Linked DNA regions of Arabidopsis thaliana. The protein of the gene in region 1 interacts with the protein of each later gene in a biochemical or structural test. Each region holds a gene or a part of one and is shown on either strand. Other genes may lie near its edges.

Evidence for each region. The genes of interacting proteins can lie anywhere in the genome.
Region 2: the proteins of AT5G63190 (region 1) and BRL2 form a complex in vitro, tested with the Arabidopsis thaliana proteins (one study listed by BioGRID).
Region 3: the proteins of AT5G63190 (region 1) and EIN2 form a complex in vitro, tested with the Arabidopsis thaliana proteins (one study listed by BioGRID).

The regions. Positions count from the first base shown.
Region 1 is NC_003076.8:25,343,915-25,349,324, reverse strand, and holds AT5G63190 (MA3 domain-containing protein), read right to left. Parts: upstream 3,784-5,410; 5' UTR 3,523-3,783; exon of another isoform or gene 3,514-3,522; intron 3,181-3,513; coding exon 2,964-3,180; intron 2,783-2,963; coding exon 2,685-2,782; intron 2,597-2,684; exon of another isoform or gene 2,556-2,596; coding exon 762-2,555; 3' UTR 525-761; downstream 1-524. Other genes in the region: AT5G63200 (tetratricopeptide repeat (TPR)-containing protein), read right to left, coding at 119-282. UniProt on the Arabidopsis thaliana protein: Involved in target of rapamycin (TOR)-regulated translation control, especially under energy-deficient conditions.
Region 2 is NC_003071.7:440,099-445,966, forward strand, and holds BRL2 (BRI1-like 2), read right to left. Parts: upstream 4,227-5,868; 5' UTR 4,139-4,226; coding exon 707-4,138; 3' UTR 526-706; downstream 1-525. UniProt on the Arabidopsis thaliana protein: Receptor with a serine/threonine-protein kinase activity, which may transduce extracellular spatial and temporal signals into downstream cell differentiation responses in provascular and procambial cells.
Region 3 is NC_003076.8:785,468-793,452, reverse strand, and holds EIN2 (NRAMP metal ion transporter family protein), read right to left. Parts: upstream 6,026-7,985; 5' UTR 5,856-6,025; intron 5,323-5,855; 5' UTR 4,865-5,322; coding exon 4,616-4,864; intron 4,472-4,615; coding exon 4,385-4,471; intron 4,295-4,384; coding exon 4,184-4,294; intron 4,093-4,183; coding exon 3,880-4,092; intron 3,799-3,879; coding exon 3,613-3,798; intron 3,503-3,612; coding exon 842-3,502; intron 765-841; coding exon 387-764; 3' UTR 49-386; downstream 1-48. UniProt on the Arabidopsis thaliana protein: Central factor in signaling pathways regulated by ethylene (ET) and involved in various processes including development, plant defense, senescence, nucleotide sugar flux, and tropisms.

The sequences.
Region 1 (5,410 bases):
ACATATGTTTCTTCCGAACAGAGGAAAAAAAAATCTCAGCAAAAGAAAGTTAGTCGAAAGCAACAGAAAGAAATAGGTTAATTAGCTGAAACACACACAACTACGTATGTAGAAGTACCTAGTGATGGGAGGAGGAGTAGGGATTGGAATGGATGAGTCAAGATCATCAGTCTCAGGAGGATTGAAATTAAGGTCAGCTAAAACTACAAGCTTTAGAGGTCGAGAAGGAGAGTCAACGGTCATGGGTTCGCATTTGACGGCGATCGTCTCCGGGCGGTCCATTGATGGTGCTGAGTACGCCGGACAGTAAAGTTGAGCAGAAGAAGAAAGAATCAAAACAAATATAAAAACGAGGATAAAGCTGTTTGGCAACGAGTATTGGTCTATCCTTTTGTTTGCTCTATCCCGGAACCGGAGTCATAATTATCTCACCGACCGAACAAATATATTTTTATTTATCTTTTTATAATTTAATTACCATATTTTCTATATTTATAAATAATTTTCATAAAATATCACAAGAGTAATAAGTTAACACAAATTAACCATGCTAATAACTTATTTTCAATGTAACAAAAATCCATCAGAAATTAGAACACACTAAAAGATATCAGTACAAAGACAAAACACAACAACCAGACAGAAACACATGAACATATAAACATCTCATGTTTATCTACTAACTGAATCCATACATATATGTAGATAGTGAGGAAAGTATCGTAAGCACAAACACAAGAAACTGATAAGAGAACCACTAATCACTGAGTTGCAGAAATCCCAAACTCGGGAAGGATCCAACCATTGTCCATGGCATGACTAGCATACAGCTCAAACTTCTCTTTCGCGTTCGGTATATCAAGCGACAAGTCATCGAGGCTGTCGTTAACACGACCAAACCCTTTCGTCATTTGGTTAGTTGTAATCAATCCTTCACCAAAACACTCCTCAAGCAGATTCAGTAACCGATCATTCTGCTTCTCCATTGCCATCACCAAAGCTTTCTTCACTACTTCGTGGTTGAAAAAAGGCATCCCTAGATCGCGGATACATTGACAAGCTTCTGATGTTACTCCTCCTGTTTCGTATTCTTCTAGGAGTTTCGAGATTTTGTCCTTTGCATCTTCCACTATCCAGCCGGTTCCACCTCCCCAGCTTCTTAGGAGTCTCTCTCCTGCGTGTCTGGCGGAGATAAGAGACCTGGCTGAGCGGACTGTTTCGGTTCCGGTTGATTTTGGAGGCAGCTTGGTTGAGATATCTTCAAGGTTAAGTGGAGCTAAGACGTCGTCAATCACAGCTCTAGCTAAAAACAGAGCAAGTTCGTTTGATGCGTCCATGATATCTAAAGCTGTGTCTTCTGCCGATTCCAGGAGCATAATGAAACCGTTTATGAAATCTTCAGTTGAGAATAGCTCCATGTGAAGAGCAGAAAGAAGAACCGAAGCCATTTCCTTTTCTCTGTTTTTCCTGTCTAGAGCAAGAGTTATGAGCCTCTTCAGAAACACCGGGTTATATTCAGGTGCCCCTAAATCTTGAAGACTGCGGATTAGCTCAGGAATGTCATCTGATAAGAAATATTCCTGAATTATGTTCACTGTATCCTTCTTGTACTGTCTTAGCTTTCCGTCTTGACTCGATTTTTCTCCATCTTGATCAGAGGTTATCTTAAATGAATCATCGAGCCAGCCTCCAGAAATAGCCTTTGGAACTATCGAATCAAACAGCTTTTTGGCAGATGGGATATCTAGAGCAAGGTCATCGAGACTCTCTGCTACTCGGAAGAATCCCTTCACCATTTGACTCGAACTGATCAGTCCTTCTTCAGCAGTTTCCTTCAACAGCTTTAGTACAAGTGACTCAGCGGTTGGAGAATCCATCGCCAGAACCAAAGCCCTCTTCACAACCTCATGATGGAAAAACGAGACACCTAATTCCCTGATGCATCTACAAGCTTCGTAAGTGTCTCCGTTTTCCACGTATTCCTTCAAGATTTCAGATATCTTTTTCTTCGTTTCTTCTACTGTAGTGTGAGTACTACCTCCCCATTTCTTCTCCACTAGTTCTGCATGGTGAGGAGCTGAGAGATAGCTCTTTTCTGCAGTTACAATAACCTGAAACCCTTTGCAAGATTCTGGAAGAATCTTCTTAGATCTAACCAGAAAAACCGGAGGGAGAATTTCGTCAACGATGGCCCGTGCAATAAACAATGCAAGGACATTAACAGCATCAAGGATGTCCACCGCAAGGTCATCAACAGATCTGAGAAGTCTTATAAATCCATCCCTAATTTGATCAGGTAAAATAACATCAGCATACAATGCAGAGAGTAGCACTGAAGCCATTTCCTTCTCCTTATCGTGTCTGTCCATGGCCATAGAAACAAGTCGCTTGGTGAAGTAAGGATGATATTCGCTTGAACCAAGTTCCCTGAGGTCAGATGCCGCCACTTTCACATCCCCGGTGCTAAAGTATTCGTCAATGATGGAAACTACTGACTTTTTGTAATCATTCAACGGGTCTGATACCGGTGAATCAACAAGTCCATCATATGCGTCCTGTTAAATTGAGTATATGAATGAAAAAAGCAAACTACTAATAAAAGATAAAATCAAGGGATGTTAGATACACTAAAGAAACAAGGAAAAGTATCCAACACAAAACAAAAGGCGCAAATATGAAAGTACCTCTCCACTATCGTAATTGGGATCATTCTTATCAATACAGGAGTCACCATCATCAGTGTCAAGAAGCTTTCCCCAAGTTCCTTTGCCACCAGCACCCTCTGCAGATATCATTGCCACATAAGTAAACCATATATCACCTACACACTTGAACTCTTCTACTGAAAACTTAAGTCTTTTCACTAAAGCAAATTTGAAAGGAACTAATAAAGAGTCATATCACTCCCTAAAAGGATCTATTAGCCAAATAACAAGCACAAAAGGTTGAAGAAAGTTTAATACCCTTCTTAACACGAATATGCTTCCCTGAGTGAGTACGTCGCACATGCCTATTAGGAATCCCAGCAACTGGTCCTTTGCCACCAGTGGGAGACTTAATGTTCAGATCAGCAAAGAGAGTATGAGATTTAGGCGATGATGACAAACTTCCAGAATTATGAGTTGCTATTTCAAGCTTTTTCCACTGTCCATCCGTCAAAATTCCCTCACCCGATGCCATCTACAACATTAAAACGACCATTAACTCATAAATCAAATACAGAAATAACCTCATAATCACTCGAACCAACCAAAAAAACTCTTCCTTTTTCCCCAAACTCCTAATAACGATCAGTAAGAACATGAGAAATTTGTATCCCAACGAAATTTCTTCCCATTCAATGATAAAACAAAGAACATGAAACCCATAAACACTGTGAATCATAAGAACACACACACAGTGATATTTTCCACGATTTCTAAACGAGAGACCTTAAAACACTCCAAAAATTCGATTAAGTAAACAAAACATCACAAAGAAGTATGTATACAACTATACAAAACAAAATCTAACCTGTCATACCTGTGATCGCAGGAATCAAATTCCAAATCGTGAAACAAAGTCGTCTTCTTTACTGCTTGGCTCGGATCTCGAGCCAAGACAGAAAAGATAAGGAATCGGATCTCCAGCACCGGAGAAAAACGACCGGAGAGTATCAAAGTAGATAACGATCAATTTATCACTACAAGAGAGTCGCAAAGATTCAAAAGTCACCGATTCCCAGACAACGACGAGAGAGGAAATGGATGAGGATCGCCAATAAAAGTACTACTTTACAACAATATAATAAAGTTTTGTGCATTTGTTTATATACGATGGTACACGTCATCAACGTAATACGTGGAGGGCTTAGAATATTTCCTTCTTTTTTTAATTTAGCCTCCAATTTTTTTAAAGATTTTAATCCAAAACAATGGGCTGTATTGGGTAGGTTCGGCCCATTGAATTAGATATTTTGGGCTGGACAATATCCAATGGTTGACTACGTTAATAAAAGTTTTATGCTTCATGGAATCATATTATTAGATCATGGCCATCATGTTTATAGTTTTAAAACAGATATGGATATTGTATTTTATATTTTTCAAATTATTATGACTAAATTATATCAATATTCATTTTAAATTGTTATTTTAGTGAACGTACTATGTGTATAAAAAAAACAAAAAAATTATAACACTGATAAATGAGTAGAGAAGAAGTTAGCAAGTAGTTTTCAAGCAAAAACCGGTCACATGCCCTTTTGTCTCTATTTTCTGATCCGACGGTTTTCTTTATATCTACCACCTTAAATCCAATCTAACGACTCTATTTCTTTATAGAAAGGTCAATTCTCTACATTTTTTCTTGTTTTTTTTTCACAAGACAATGTCATGAAACTTGAATTGATTTCGTATAGAAGACAAAAAAAACTTGTAAAGTTGAGCATTTGTTCAAAACATTAATTTGTTAAGTTTGCTTATCCAAATGATCAAGTTTCAGTTTGATAAGCCAATGTAGTCAATAATTAAAATGGTTGAATTAGATATTATCATACTCTATATTTAGTTACTTATTCAAATGCGTTCAATTATTTTTGTATTCTATGAATCATGTAAAAAGTAGTGAAAAATGTATATAGATTAGCTTTTGAGCGTTGAGAATATTCTGAAAAAGGAACATTAATGTCGATCGGTTCTCGTGTTTCATCACGTACGAGAACGAAATCATTTACTAATCGAATGAATGTCCAAAACTGTCTAAAATGTAGTGAGAAATGTCATTTAATTGTTTTCTGCAGTTTATGTACCAGAATACACAATTTGCTTAATGTATAAAATAATTTGCTACTAACAGTAATTTAAAAAAAAAAAACTAGACTTAAACTCATGATCCATATTTTTGCCCGAAGTGAAAATTCATCAACATGAATGGCTCTAGCAAAAAGAAAAATGTCGGCGAGACTTGTAATCGAATAGTTGATTAAGTTTTTAAAGACATTGTTCTTTTTAAAGTGTGGAGGAGGAGGAGGATATAGAGTGATGATGCAAATACTTCCCATGTGCATTGATTGTCAACACATTTTGTACCAGCCAAAATTTCAACATAGGGTCTGATTGTTAGATATGAATGAATACACTACTATTCTAAAAACGTTATATGAATTTAAGAAAATTATATGTGTAGAATTTATTGAAAGATTGGACTCGAGCACATGGTTCGGTGGTCCCAAAATCAAACCTCTATGGGCCAGTGTCGGCTCAGTTCTCCTATTCTATTGCTTTTGGTGGGTCTATTCTTTTCTCTTTTCCTGCAAGCAATATCTCTTTGAGACACCAAAAGAAATTCATTTTGTATAAAGATAATAATAATAACAAACACTCTAAAACCAACTTATCAAACAATTCAAAGTGTATCAAATATCGTATTC
Region 2 (5,868 bases), on another chromosome or scaffold:
TAAATTACTAGACAACCACCTACTTGATTCACATCAACAAGTATAAATTCACACATACTAATGAAGTAACACATTGAAATATATTCTCTTTTGTGGTTTGAAATACTATTCTCACAAAAAAAAATATTCTACTCACGAATGTATAGTCTTATAGTGTTAGATGTTCATAGGCCTGAAGGAGAAAGAGTCATTATGGGCCTAATGTTTCTATATTCTAAATAGTTCTTTATGGCCCAAATATAATTTTGAAACTTCAGTTGTTGAGCCCATTTGTATGTTCTCTATCCAAAGCCTAATCGTGTGTATTCGAGCGTTTAATAAAGAACAATTTTTTTTTTTTTTTTTTTCTAATACCAGGAAGTTCTGGGCCAATGTCGGTAATCCTTTCATGCACGAAACCACATCGTGTAATATTAGTTTCGTTTCAAGCGTTACTCAAATCGGCGTTCTCTAAGCTTCGTTTACGGTCTTTACCAATTGAGCTAACGACACTCGGTAATAAAGAACAATTCACCAACTAAGACTCTGATTTGTTATAATCTGCATAGTTATTTATTAAAGGAATCAGAATTTAAATTACATTAATTAAGTCTTGATACATCATGAAATTTTAATCATTGATCAACCACACATACACATTCTCACAGGAAAAAAAAATGCATTGAAAAAGCCAGAAAAACAAAAAAAAACAGAGATCTTCATGTTGTTACAAGCTGTTACTGTGACTGTGACTATTATTTTCACTTCCACGAAGTTCTCTCAACGAAGCAACAACTTGTAACATATTAGGTCTCTTTGATGGGAAATCGTCAACGCACCGTAACGCTATCTCCAAATACCTCAACATTTCTTTCACAATCACTCCTCCTTCAAAACCTTCTTTCTCATTCAGAGACTCCGAAGAACCTTCTTTTAGAAGGTCTTCATCAATCACTTCCATGTGTTTCCCTTCTCTTGCCTTCATCTTCGACCAACCTACTAAATTCGTATCACCAAACTCTTCTTTATCCGTTGGTCTTTTCCCGCTTAAGATCTCGAGCATCACTACTCCGATTGAGTACACGTCGCCTTTTGCGGTACATCTGAAACTTTGGTAATACTCTGGTGGTACGTAACCTGGCGTGCCTGCCAAGGTACTTACACTCAAATGTGTGTCTAATGCGCTGATCAGTCTCGCCATTCCGAAATCTGAAACTCTTGCTTCCATGTCTTGATCGAGAAGCACGTTGCTCGATTTCATGTCGCGGTGGATTATGTGAGGGATACAATTGTGATGCAAGAAACAAAGTCCTTTTGCTGCTCCTTTTGCAATCTTTTTCCTCTCTTCCCAACCTAAAATCCTCCGTTTTTCGCCTGTTCTTGGTCCGTGAAGCACCTCCTCGAGGCTTCCGTATTGCATAAACTCGTAAACAAGCAATCTCTCTTCCCCGATTTTACAGTATCCCAAGAGCGGTACGAGGTTTCGGTGTTTGATCTTCCCTAAGGTTTCCATTTCTGCCATGAACTCTCGATCTCCTTGACAACTAAGTCTAATGAGCTTCTTGATCGCCACGGAAGACCCGTCTTTAAGCGTCGCCTTAAAAACCTCACCGAATCCGCCGTGTCCGATCATACTCGCGGCTGAGAATCCGTTTGTCGCCTCGATAAGCTGCGAAAACTTAAGCTTTCTCAACTGTCGCTGAAACGTCGCTACATTAATACTCAACGGCTCTTTCTCCTTCTCTATCTTCCATGTAGTGGCGGAATTAACCGCCTGCAAACTGTGAAGCATCTTCGCATCATCCGCATCTCTCCTCCTCGCACGAACCGCAATCGCCCAAACGATTAAAATACAAACCGAAGCAGCGGAAATCAACACTCCCAAAACAATGCTATTCGCCCAAGAAGCTGCCCTAGTTCCGTGCTTAGCACGTTTCCCTTCCTCTGTTCCAGCAGGAAGCTGATTGTTTCCATTCTTACATTCCGGTAAAGGAACACCGCAAAGCCCCGGATTATTCGCGTACTGAGTCGCCGGAAGCGTGCTTAACTGACCTCTCTGAGGAATCGGACCAGTTAACTCGTTATTCGACAAATCAATCTGCACCAAGAAAGACAAATTCGAGAAAGATTCAGGGATTTGACCCTGCAACCGATTATCCGAAGCATCGAAAACACCGAGATTCTTGAGCTGACCAATCGTAAACGGAATCTCGCCGGAGAGTTGATTATGAGAAAGCTCAAGAACTTGAAGAGCAATCATTTCTCCAATCTCATCAGGGATTTTACCTCTAAGCTGATTATAAGAAAGATCAAGATACTCAATGGTTTGATATCTTGTGAATAGACTCAAAATTGGACCTGAATACATTCTTGTGAAGTCACAGCTTTTAAGAGATGGAATCTGAAGAAGCCTCTCTGGTCTGATCCCTGAGAACTCAACCAAACCTCCAACACCTTTACATGAGTTTCCAACGTTTCTAACAAAAGCCATTGTGTTTCCTGAGAGTAAACCGGAAAGTGCTTTTGAACCGGGTTGACGACCTAACCGGGGAGGGATTTCACCGGTTAAGTGGTTTGTGTTAAGATCAAGCCAAACCAGAGTTGTGCATTTTCCTAGCTCCGGTGGGATTTCTCCGGTGAAATTGTTGTTACCGAGCTGAAGAACGGCTAACCGGGAAAGGATTCCGAAATCTTTAGGCACTTCTCCGGTTAATCTGTTGCTTGTGAATGAGACCCATTCGATGTTACTGCAATTGAAAAATTCCGGTGGGATTTCTCCGGTGAGTTGATTGTTGTTGAGGATCAAATCTTTTAGGTTTTGTAGTTTTCCGATCTCCGGTGGGATTTCTCCGGCGATGTTGTTGTACCAAGCTATGAATTGCTCGAGTTTCTGGAGGTTTCCGATCTCCGGTGGGATTGTACCGTTGAGATAATTGAGACTGAGATCAATCGTTCGTAGCTCAGAGCATTGAGATATCGCCGGTGGAATCTCTCCGGTGACGAGATTATCCGGGAGTCTTAGCTCTTCTAATGAAGCTGCTCCGGGACATAAATCCGGTGGAATCACACCGGAGAATCGATTCGAGCTGAAGTCAGCGATTCTCAAGCTCTTACAAGCAGAGATTGAAGTCGGAAAGTCACCGGAGATTAAGTTGTTGCTGAGAAGTAAGATTTGAAGAGATCCAAAACTCCGGAGGATAGTGTTCGGAAACGGACCGGAGATGTTGTTGTTTGAAAGGTCAAGACTTTGTAGCCAAGAACATGAGGACAACGACTCAGGGATCACACCAGTGAAGTTGTTGTAAGAAAGCCGGAGGTTTTGTAATGACCGGCAAGTATCTCCGATCTCCGGCGGGATCCAACCGGTGAGTCGGTTATGAGAAAGATCCAAACTTTGTAAGAGTTTAAGCTCACCGAAAGATTTTGGAATCTGCCCATCGAAGTTGTTGTAAGAAAGATTCAAGCTTTTGAGGTTGGTGCAGTTGATGAGTGAGTCAGAGATATAGCCGGAGATACTGTTACCGGAGAAATCGAGATAGGTCATGGAGACGCAAGAAGAAAGAGGAATGGTTAAACCGGAGATTGGACCGGTAATGTTGTTGTAAGAAAGATCAAGGGTTTGGAGTTTCTTGCTGCTTAAGAAAAGATCATTAGGTAACTTTCCGGTGAAGTTATTGTAAGAGAGGGTGATGGAAATAAGATTTGAGTATTTGGAGAAGAAATTTTCAGGGAGGGTTCCGATTAAACCGGAGGAAGAGAGTTCGAGATGAGTTAGGGTTAAAGGAAGAAGAAGAAGAGAGGTTGAGTTTAAGACGAAGAAGTTCTCTGAGAGTTTGAGAACAGAGAGAGAATCAAGAGAGGTGAAAGCATTGAAGGAGACGATTCCGGAGAGGCCACTACCGGAGAGATTAATCTCGGTGACTCTTCCTCCGAGACAAGTGACGCCGGAGAATTGACAAGGGGATTTACGAGGTGACCAGTTTGAGAGAATGTTGTTTGGATCATCTTGGATCATTGTTTTGAAAGAGAGGAGTGATAATGAGTCGGTTTTGAGTGAAGATTGGTCGGAGGAGGAAGATTGTGAGAGATGGGTAAGGAGGAAGATGAAGGAGATTTGGATCCGAGTCCGGATCCGAACCCGGATTGGTGAAGTAGTCATTGGAGGGAGGTTTTTTGAGTTTGAATGGAGAAGGAGAAGTAAGTAAGTTGAAACATTTAGATGATAAAGAGACGATGCTAAAGCAGAGGAAGAAAAAGGGCTTTTTTTGAAGAAAAGAAAAAGCTGCTTTTAGGTAATTTATTAAGTTTTATTAATTGTTGATGCTTATTATTTTTAAAACATCTTTGTCGAATCGTTTTTTTTTACATATGATGTTTTTCTAATAGATGATTGATTTATTAAATGGTTATGATCAATCTTATGATTTTGTGGAATTGTGATCATGACTTGTAGTGATTTGTGTAAGTGACATTATTAATCTAATAGAATACATGTTGTTTGATAATCAAAAAAATTAAGTTCAGTTTATAGAATAAAACTCTAATATTTAGAAAAATATGTTTTCAGTTTCATTTAGTCCTATATCTATTTGTTTCTAATGGTTTCATAATTTTAATTCATTAAAGCTCCATGTGGGGATTTTGAACCTTAGAAAGAATTATGATCACTGCTAATTTTCTAAATGGGAATTGTATCTATGAGATGTTTCACAAATTTCAATGAAGAAAAAGTGTAGTATTATATAAACTTCCATTTAAAAATTTAGCTATATACTATTGTTGTATAACATTTCTTAAAATGATTTAAATATTAGTTGTATAACATTTCTTAAAATAATTTAAATATTAGATGACAAGCAACTAGATCTAATAAGAGTCGGAAGGAATTGTCCGTTGTAGAATCGTCTATGTAACAGTGCAATAAATAATAAATCTAAGACTGGCAAAAAAAAATAATTGACAAGCAACTGAATATGAATATAGTTAGTGATATAGTGACAACACTAATAAAAACGAACATAATAGAAATTCTAGTCTATAATCACATCAAGTTTGGAATTTTGGGATAATTTGTTTTGTTTTTGTTGTGTATTGTATTAATACTTTATTTAAAAAAAAAACAAAACCTTTTACAAAAGAATGGCAATTATATTGAAAGGAATTTTGGGAGAAATTATTCCAAACCGATATACAAATATTTCATATGGTGGGGTGTGTGGTCAAAATAATTGGGACCCAATTTAGTCATAATATGCATCGCATATGAAATGGTCTTTTGTAAAATTTGGTTGATCCAATGTTCACTGTCGAGGCAGAGGCGTGGGGGAATGAACAGAGAAGTGACTTTACAAATTACAATAACAAACTTTAAGGTGTAACCATAATGTTGCTCACTTCTTTTTCCATTTTTATGTGATTTTAATTAGTTTAGTTTCATATAATATGCCATAGATGAGCCTTTATATCATGTTCCATGTCACACACTCCATCCTTTTCATCATTACACTGCCTTCTTCCACCAAGTTTATGAGTAGATTTGTATGACTTAAGCAAAATATTAGCTTGATTATTTCAGCCAACGAGAAAATGCTATTTTGAAATGTTCATTGATAAATAATCATATACACATATTAAAGAAAAAAATATACACAAGTCATATTTTAAAATGTTTCAATTGGTTATACCCTAGCTACCATTCAATTGCACAAGAGACTATTTCTTTAAGATCAATAGTTTCTAGTAAGAAATAATTATTCTTAGAACATTTTTCCATTGCAATTAATAGTGCAAATCTTATCACCTATAGTGTGATTTTGTGTGTTATAAATTTGTAATATATCATACTGTTGAAGACTATAGAGTATATTTTATTGATTCTGTTTAATAAAT
Region 3 (7,985 bases), about 25 Mb from region 1:
AGTAAGACGTTTCGAGAAGAAATATTGATAAGGACACGTGTCAGTAATCTAGCGTCGATGTGTCAGCTACGTGCAGAGATCCGGTTTAGGAGATTTAACATTTCAAACCGACGATTTCTTTATGATTCCGCATAGAATTACACAAACCGGATTCGGTTTGTAGCTATGGTCCTATGATGATGATATATGTATATAAACATAACATTACAACCAAATTAAGAAAAAAAGAGCGAAAAATTCTGAAGCAACAAAAATCCATTTTTTTTCTTCTTTTCTTAATACACAATTAACGAAGCAGAGGAGCAATCAAAAGCGAGAGTTTTGATTCTTCGGCTTCCCTCTCGACGTCACTTTGATCATGAGATTTCTCACAATGTTCTTCTTCTTCAACCCAATGATCCGTACGCAGTCACGTTTTTTCTTGAACCGGGTCCATCCTGATTCATACCTACTGGTTTATTCGATAACCGACGTTTATACCGCTTCAAAACCGAAGCCAAATTCTCTTTCCCCTTTGGGAAAGCCACATCACCTGCAGCTGTACCGGTTCGGCCTTTTCTACAAGAGATTGCCATTTCAACGTCTTTGATTAGATCAAGAAGTGTGACTGCGGTTGTGCATTTGCCTTTAGCCGGTTTTGCAGCCGGAGGTAACATTCCGTTAGCTGAAGTCGGACTCGCTCTCTGGTGGCTCGCTGGAATCTGAAGGCAAAAGCACGGTGTCATTGGTGTCCGCAGCTTTGAGAACGCCGGATCAATCACTCCCTGTTTAAATCCATACATGTCAATATTTTCAAACTGCAAAACTGTGATTTTCAATGAACTACTGCGGTTTTTGTTACCTGTAGGCGGTTGAGAACGTAAGTGTACTTTCCCCAAAGCTCAGGCCGACTCTCCATGAGAGACAAGTCAAGGACACGGTGAATGCACCAAACTCCAAAGCTCACAATCAAATCAGCTCTCCAAACGCAACCATCTCCACAGTTAGGAACCGATGAAATTAGTGGCTCCCCCATGTGACCCACCTGGTTTATTTCTCGAGCTTCAGCTTCATAGATAAACTTCTCTCGTGCAGCTACCCGGTCAATCAGTTCTTCATCAACTCCATCGCTTTGTCCAAACAACCACTCGGATCCTTCAAGTTTAATAAGCTTTAGAATACAGTGCCTGAACGACTGAAGAAGCTTAGCCTCTGCATCAACATTAGAAGAAGCGTTGTTGTCTATATTGATCGGATTCGATCTATTCCTGAGCTCCTCACCAACAGCACCATTCCTCTCCGCTACACCAAACTGCTCAAAGGGCTGTCTGGACCAAAGCGATCCGGTCCCTGTTGTTGCACTCTGTGGCAAACTGTAGGCATCTCTGTAGCCTCCTCTTGATTGAGAAATGTCATCATAAGTCGAGGGTACTCCCACCCGTGACCCCAAATTAGAATATAACGATGATTCATTGCTTAACCGACCATAAGACGCACCATACCCTCCTCCTCCACTTGACGGATCCCAGTATCCACTCTTGTTGTTTGGTAAATGCATGTTCCTTGCGGACATAGACAATCCTGAGATATCTGGCATGCTACTATATTTTTTCTCATTGGCTACTGCTGCGCCAACAGTATCAGTATTGCCAGAAGATGGAACACCGTAATAAGATCTTTCAGATTGTCGCGATATGCTTCTAGACCCAGCAAAATTCTCAAACCCAGGAGCTGGTCCAGGGGTTAGACCATTCTGGGACTTCTGTTTCAAGGCTAAAGCAAGTTGCTGTGTATAGCTCAATGTACCAAGCGCCATAGATCTCGATGTCGGGATCTCTCCACGGGATTGTAAGGCTTCAAGCCTTTCTTTTGCCAAATTGTCTACATATGACTTCATCTGGTATCCGTGAACTGTAGCTGGTTGTTGGTGTTCCCAACCCTCTGAAGATGATGGAGCACGCAGGCTAGAGTATCTTCTCTCACTCAATTCGTAAGCATTATTATTATTAGTGGTGTTACCATATGCACCCAACATCTGCATACGGTTGACCAACGGTGACGGTGACGAACCTCTTTGTAATCCATACAACGAATCGATACTTCCCGGTGTCCTCTGCTGCTTCAGTGAATCATATAAACTTGAAGTCATCTGTGAATCCATTCCCTTCGCAGTTGGTGACATGCAATATCCACTGCTAATGTCTTTTCCAAACGAATCTGCTTTCATAGAAGAGGCTGACTTTTGATCAGTGCCAAACAGCTGATCTAGTTTCTTTGCCCTGGCTTCAGCAACCAATTGCCCATGAAAATCATATAAATGTCCCCAAAATTCATCAAGGATCGCAGATAAGTGTCTCCGGGCAGCACGTCCCAAACCTTGCAACCGTGAAAGGCTTCCAGTCCCACTTCCCCCTTCCCCACTTAAGCTGCGGAATGAAGGAGGACCATCAGATCCGACAGTAAAGTTGCTTGTAGGAGCAGCTTTGGTAGCTTCTTCTGTTTCCCATGAAACCCCTTCAACATCCTTTTCAATAAACTTGCTGTTATTCTCCATGCTAACAATCTTCTCCACAGGACTCATTGGTTCAATTTTCGCCATCTTTGTTTCAACAATCAGATCCTTATCACTGACCTCATTAACCACTGTTGACTGCAATACAGACTGTTCCTTTACATCAGAGTCTTCCTTAAGACTACTAACTTGAGAGGTAGAGTACTTTACATCCAACTCTCTTTCCTCTGGAGGGCTCGAACGGATTTCTTGATCCGTCATTAGAATGTTCTCTGGCAAATCATAGACCGAGCTAGTAACAGACGTAGTATCCAACTGATCCTTTACCCTGCTTTCCAACCGCACTATTGATTCGTCTTCGTTCCTCCTTGTTTCTGTTCTTTCAATTTCCTCTTCTTGAACAGATGGATAAGATAAAGCATTTTGAGCATCCATGTTCCATATTTGAGCTTCCGCTCTGTTACTCGCAGATTTCAGCGGCGTGGCTGCCAGCCAGAGTATCAGGCATAAGGATGCACATGACGATACAAGCAGAGTGGTGTACTGAATCGAGGTGCCCATCACGGTATTCCATCTCAAACCACCAGCCCAGTCACTGCTCCCAAATACCATCTCAACAACAAAAACAACATTCAACCCCAGAAATCCCAAAAACGTTGTAAGTGCGAGGAACTCGCCAACCTGAGGGATTTTATGGACACCCATGATTTGTCTCGACGAAGCAATGCGGAAAAGCGGTATTACCGAGCAAGGAAGCATCATTGCCACCAAGACCTGGGTGAATATAAGTAACTGGTATATTCCGTCTGCACCAGATGTCCATACACAATAAAGCGCAGGAGCAACTGCAAGAATTCTGATTGTAGCACGATGAAGCCAAGCGGGTATTTCTATCTTCAGGAAGTCATGCAGGACGACCTCTCCACCGAAAGCCCAAGCTAGTGCGGTAATTTGACTAGAGAAGAACAAGAGCATCAAAAAGACCACTGGAATGAGCGGACTCATAAATACCTGTGATCAACAATCAAGAACAAGATAATTAATAATCACGAGAGATTTCTGAACATTTTCCCTAAAAATGAATTATAGACTAATACGAACATAAAACCGTCAGAACAAACCTGCTCCATTAGTGACAAGGCATCGTGAAAAGTCAGTACCACAAGGCCAGTACTGTGAAACACATTAGCTGCTGCATTCATCAATACATAATTTACAAGTGACAGTCCGCTGAAGACACCAAAGATGGCGAACAAATGGTCTTGACACAAGCTGCTCTTGTCGACATCAGACGAAGATGTACTTTCCTGTAATAGAGCGTTCACTGCTTAGTATAATTATTGCTTCTTAACAGAAAAGAGAGATACATATAAAGAGAAAAAAGGTACCCCAGCAAAATAAGAATGGATATAAAAATTGTGAGGGACGATGCTTGCGCCAAGAAGACCCATCAGTGCGAATGCGCTCTCTCCATTTAACCGAGTTAACACTCCATTCATAGAGAGTGGGATCTCAGACTGACTCAGCAAGACGCCAGATACATAGAGAAGTAATACCAGGCCTGCAGAGTAAATGGATACTGTATTTGCCATACCATTTTCCTGTCAGAAATTGTATGCATGTCAGCTAATTTCCAATAATGCTATTTCAAGAACGTGGAGAAAAAAAACAAGACAGGAAGACCAGTCATACAAGGAAAGAGGCGAAAACAGGAAATAAAAACGCATCCATGGCGGCCAAAAACACTCCAGTGGATAACTCCACCCCAAACAAAAGGTTAAGTGCATGCGCAACTCCCACAACCTGTTTATAATAGAGAAGCTCAAGTCAGAGGAATCAAAATTTTATCACATAATAAAAAAATTAAGAACAGCAAAGATTGTAAGTAACTACCATGGTAAGGTCGAGCAGAATTGCTGAGAACTCCGCCTGAATGCCCAAGAACATGCACGTCCACTTGTCATATTCTTCATTGCAGATCTGTCCCAGTAAAGAACATTAAAATGTTAGAAAAATAGAGAAGGTGGTTAGTAGAATTCCACTTTGAGAAAGTGACAAGACAACCACAGAGCCCAGTTTGTTATTTTAAAAAGTTTGTTCTTTAGAGATCAGAAAAATGTTTACCTGAGCCAAGTGTTTACCAGTCACAACGCTTATGCGAGCTGCAACATATTGGCATAAGATGGCGGCAAAATTGAAAAGCAGAGTAATTGCCACCAAGTCATACCCGAAACGAGCACCTCCTTCGATATTTGCAACCCATTTCCCGGGATCAATATATCCGACAGAAACCAAAAGGACAGGAAGTAGAGCAGGAACCATTCTCTGGATAAACCCTAGCTGAGGTCTCACATTCACAATTTCAGCTTCCATCCTAAATCTATCTGATAATATAATTACTCAGAGTAGGATTCAAGGTCAACTCTACAGTCGTGGTTCACTAAAAGCCTCAGTTGAGTAAAATTCACAGATTTGATCTAAAACACCTTCCCTCGCGAAATCTGATTCCCTCCAAAGCTAACACACAACAACGAATCAGTCGGTTCTTCTATCACCGAGGCAAACAAAGCCACTCTAACGCTTACTTGTTATACAACTCTGTACAGTCTTTCTTTACCTAATAATAGCTGAAGTTTCCTCTAGTAACCAGATGTTAAGTTAAGGACCAGACCTTCTTCTTATTTGCTGCTTCAAGGAGAGAGATCATACAACATTCAGCTAAGTTGGTCCAAATGGAGGAAGCCCTAACAGAGCAACCAAGAGCAGAACATAGACTTCCATATGCTTAACCACTACGGATATCTCCAAACCATTCGAAATCAGCTTCAGACCTGAATTTTTTTTTTATGGTGAAAATCTTCAGATACAGTAGTATTACAAATCAATAATTGATCTTAGTATGAAGCAGCAACAAAAAGAAGATAAGCTCAAAAAAAATACAAATTTCAACTAAACTGAAGCTAAAAGAATCGTAACGCTGACGAAAAGCAACAAAAATGCAAAGATCCCGTATGATCTACGCATTCAGATCTTCAAGGAAAAAAAAGGTCAACCACAAACCAAGTACAGTAGTAAAAAAGAAAAAAGCTTAAATCTCGCAATTAAAACAAAACCCAGAAACCGAAAACAATCCCGAAGAACTCCAAGTCTGGAAAGTCCAGATAATGAAGAGGGAGAGAGATCTAAGCTGAAACTACGAATTCGATCCACCTGATGAAATTATAAAAAGCTGGAAAAAAAACCCAGAAAGTCTCATTTGCGCAAAAGCCGAGGGAAAAGCTACAAAAACCCATGAAAGTCCGTACAAAGCCCCCCAGCAAAATAAAAAAAAAAACAGAGGATTAGGGTTTTTGAAAGAAGTCACCTTCGAAATCGCCATGATCGCAAGTTGACCTAACAACAATAGTCTCAGTGAGAGAGAGAGAAACGGATCTTCAAAAGAGAGAAACTCTTATCAAGCTACGAGAGATAGAGATAGAGAGAGAAAAGAAGAGGAAAGAGAGAAAGAGCTCAGTTCCATCGAAAGAGAGAGATAAAAGAAGATCGAAAAATCAATTATATAAAATATTTATATATAAAAAACGTATACATACATATTTGTATCTATAGGTCTGAAGGTTATGGGTGCTCGTGCCACCTTCAAAGAGAGAGAGAGAAAAAAAAAATTATTACTTGTAAATAACATGTAAAAATAAAGGTATTATTCTTTTTTTTCTTATAGCTAAAAAAACGTCTTTTTAAATAAATTTTCCAGGTTTAACATATAGTTTCTTTAATCCATCTTTATTAATCTTTTTAAACTAATCGTAGTTTATTCCATGGACGAAGAAGAGAATTATTATTACTTTAAATTTCTCGACCCCTCTTTCTCCTCATTACATGTAATAATAATACATCAAACAGCTTGATTATGGAGTTTCAAATGGAGATTATTTTACTTGATTTTGTGAAACGCTAGCTAAATTTATTTTTGTACTTTTGATTTGAGTAATACAAAAATGTTGTTTTCTAGCAATTTTTTTAATTTTTATTAAAAATTTAAAGGGACGGTTACAAAGCGAAAAATAATATAAACGTGACTAACTTTAAGAATACGAACAAAAAATAAGGAATCAAATCTTCTAACTCGCAAAAGATTACATGTGTCGAGAAGATTTGAAATTTTTTGTTACATTCGAGAAAAGTTTACGCGATTCTCGCATACTATAAAATTCAAATCTTAAACAAATAAAATTGTTTAAATATTGTATATATAACTTTTGGCTACCTTTTTATTAGAATTAAAATCCAAACATAATTTAGATCTATTTATCTTATATTAGAGACCAATGTCTAGGAATTTTTTTAATGATTTACTTATTTTAGTATTAAAACAATCTTTAAAATTTTACAAAAATACATGAATAGGTTCTATTATACATTTCAGCGTTCTGCAAAATACTGAAATTATAATTTTCCTTTTGCATAAATATAATAAAAGAGAAATCAAAAACTTTATTTGAAAATGACGTTATTTGAGAAAACTAACTAAAGTTGATGATACAATTAGGCGTTATCAAAAGCTGAAGTTGTTGACTAACGAAAATGGAAAAATAAATGAAGGCGTTAGTACCATAAATATGTAAAATCGGAAATGAGAACAGGATTCGACATTATACTCCACAGAATGCTATAAATAATACGTCTTTATATAGCAAGTTTTTATTTATTCTGCTGTATATGTATTAGACATCAATATTAATTGCATAGAACAACTATTTGTCAAAAATAAGAATTCATGGCCTTCCCTCAAATAGAAAAGAAACAAAACAAAAAAAAACATTTTGTTTTATTTGTCTTTTGATCTCAACTAAGAGCTTGATTTCATTAAATCATCATTGAAAAAACAAATACACTCTACTTTTAAACTAAACAAATATCATATACGAATTTCCATTTTATACAAAATATGTAGTTGGATACAAAATAATAGCTAGATTTTGTTATCACCAGTTATAATAAGTCATTAAGATTTGTCAATAGATTCCAATAAATGTATCATTTTACTAACGAAGAAACAGTTACTATAGTTAGTTAACTGAATCATATTTTAGTATGGTTATATTGATTGATCAAACCATCCTTAACCGAACTATCCAAATCACAAAATCAAACCCAAAACCAAAAGAAGAAAACAAATATAAATAGAATTTCTACTATTTTTGGTCAAATATAATCCACGTGTTCCTAATCATCTCCTACATCAATGGAAGTACAGCTTGGGCTTTCGATAACCATACATTGTACCTTACTATTTTTTCCAATTTGATTTCTTTAGGCTTTTTTTATGTAACTTGTCACTATATATTTAACATACTCAACATTATCCATATTCTCTTGTGAAAGTATATATACATGTACATTGGATAGGAAGCAAATTAAAACACAAGAAACTAAAATTTTGCATCAATGAAAGGAACATGGGCTCCTCTCAGTCCTATGTTGATGTATATGT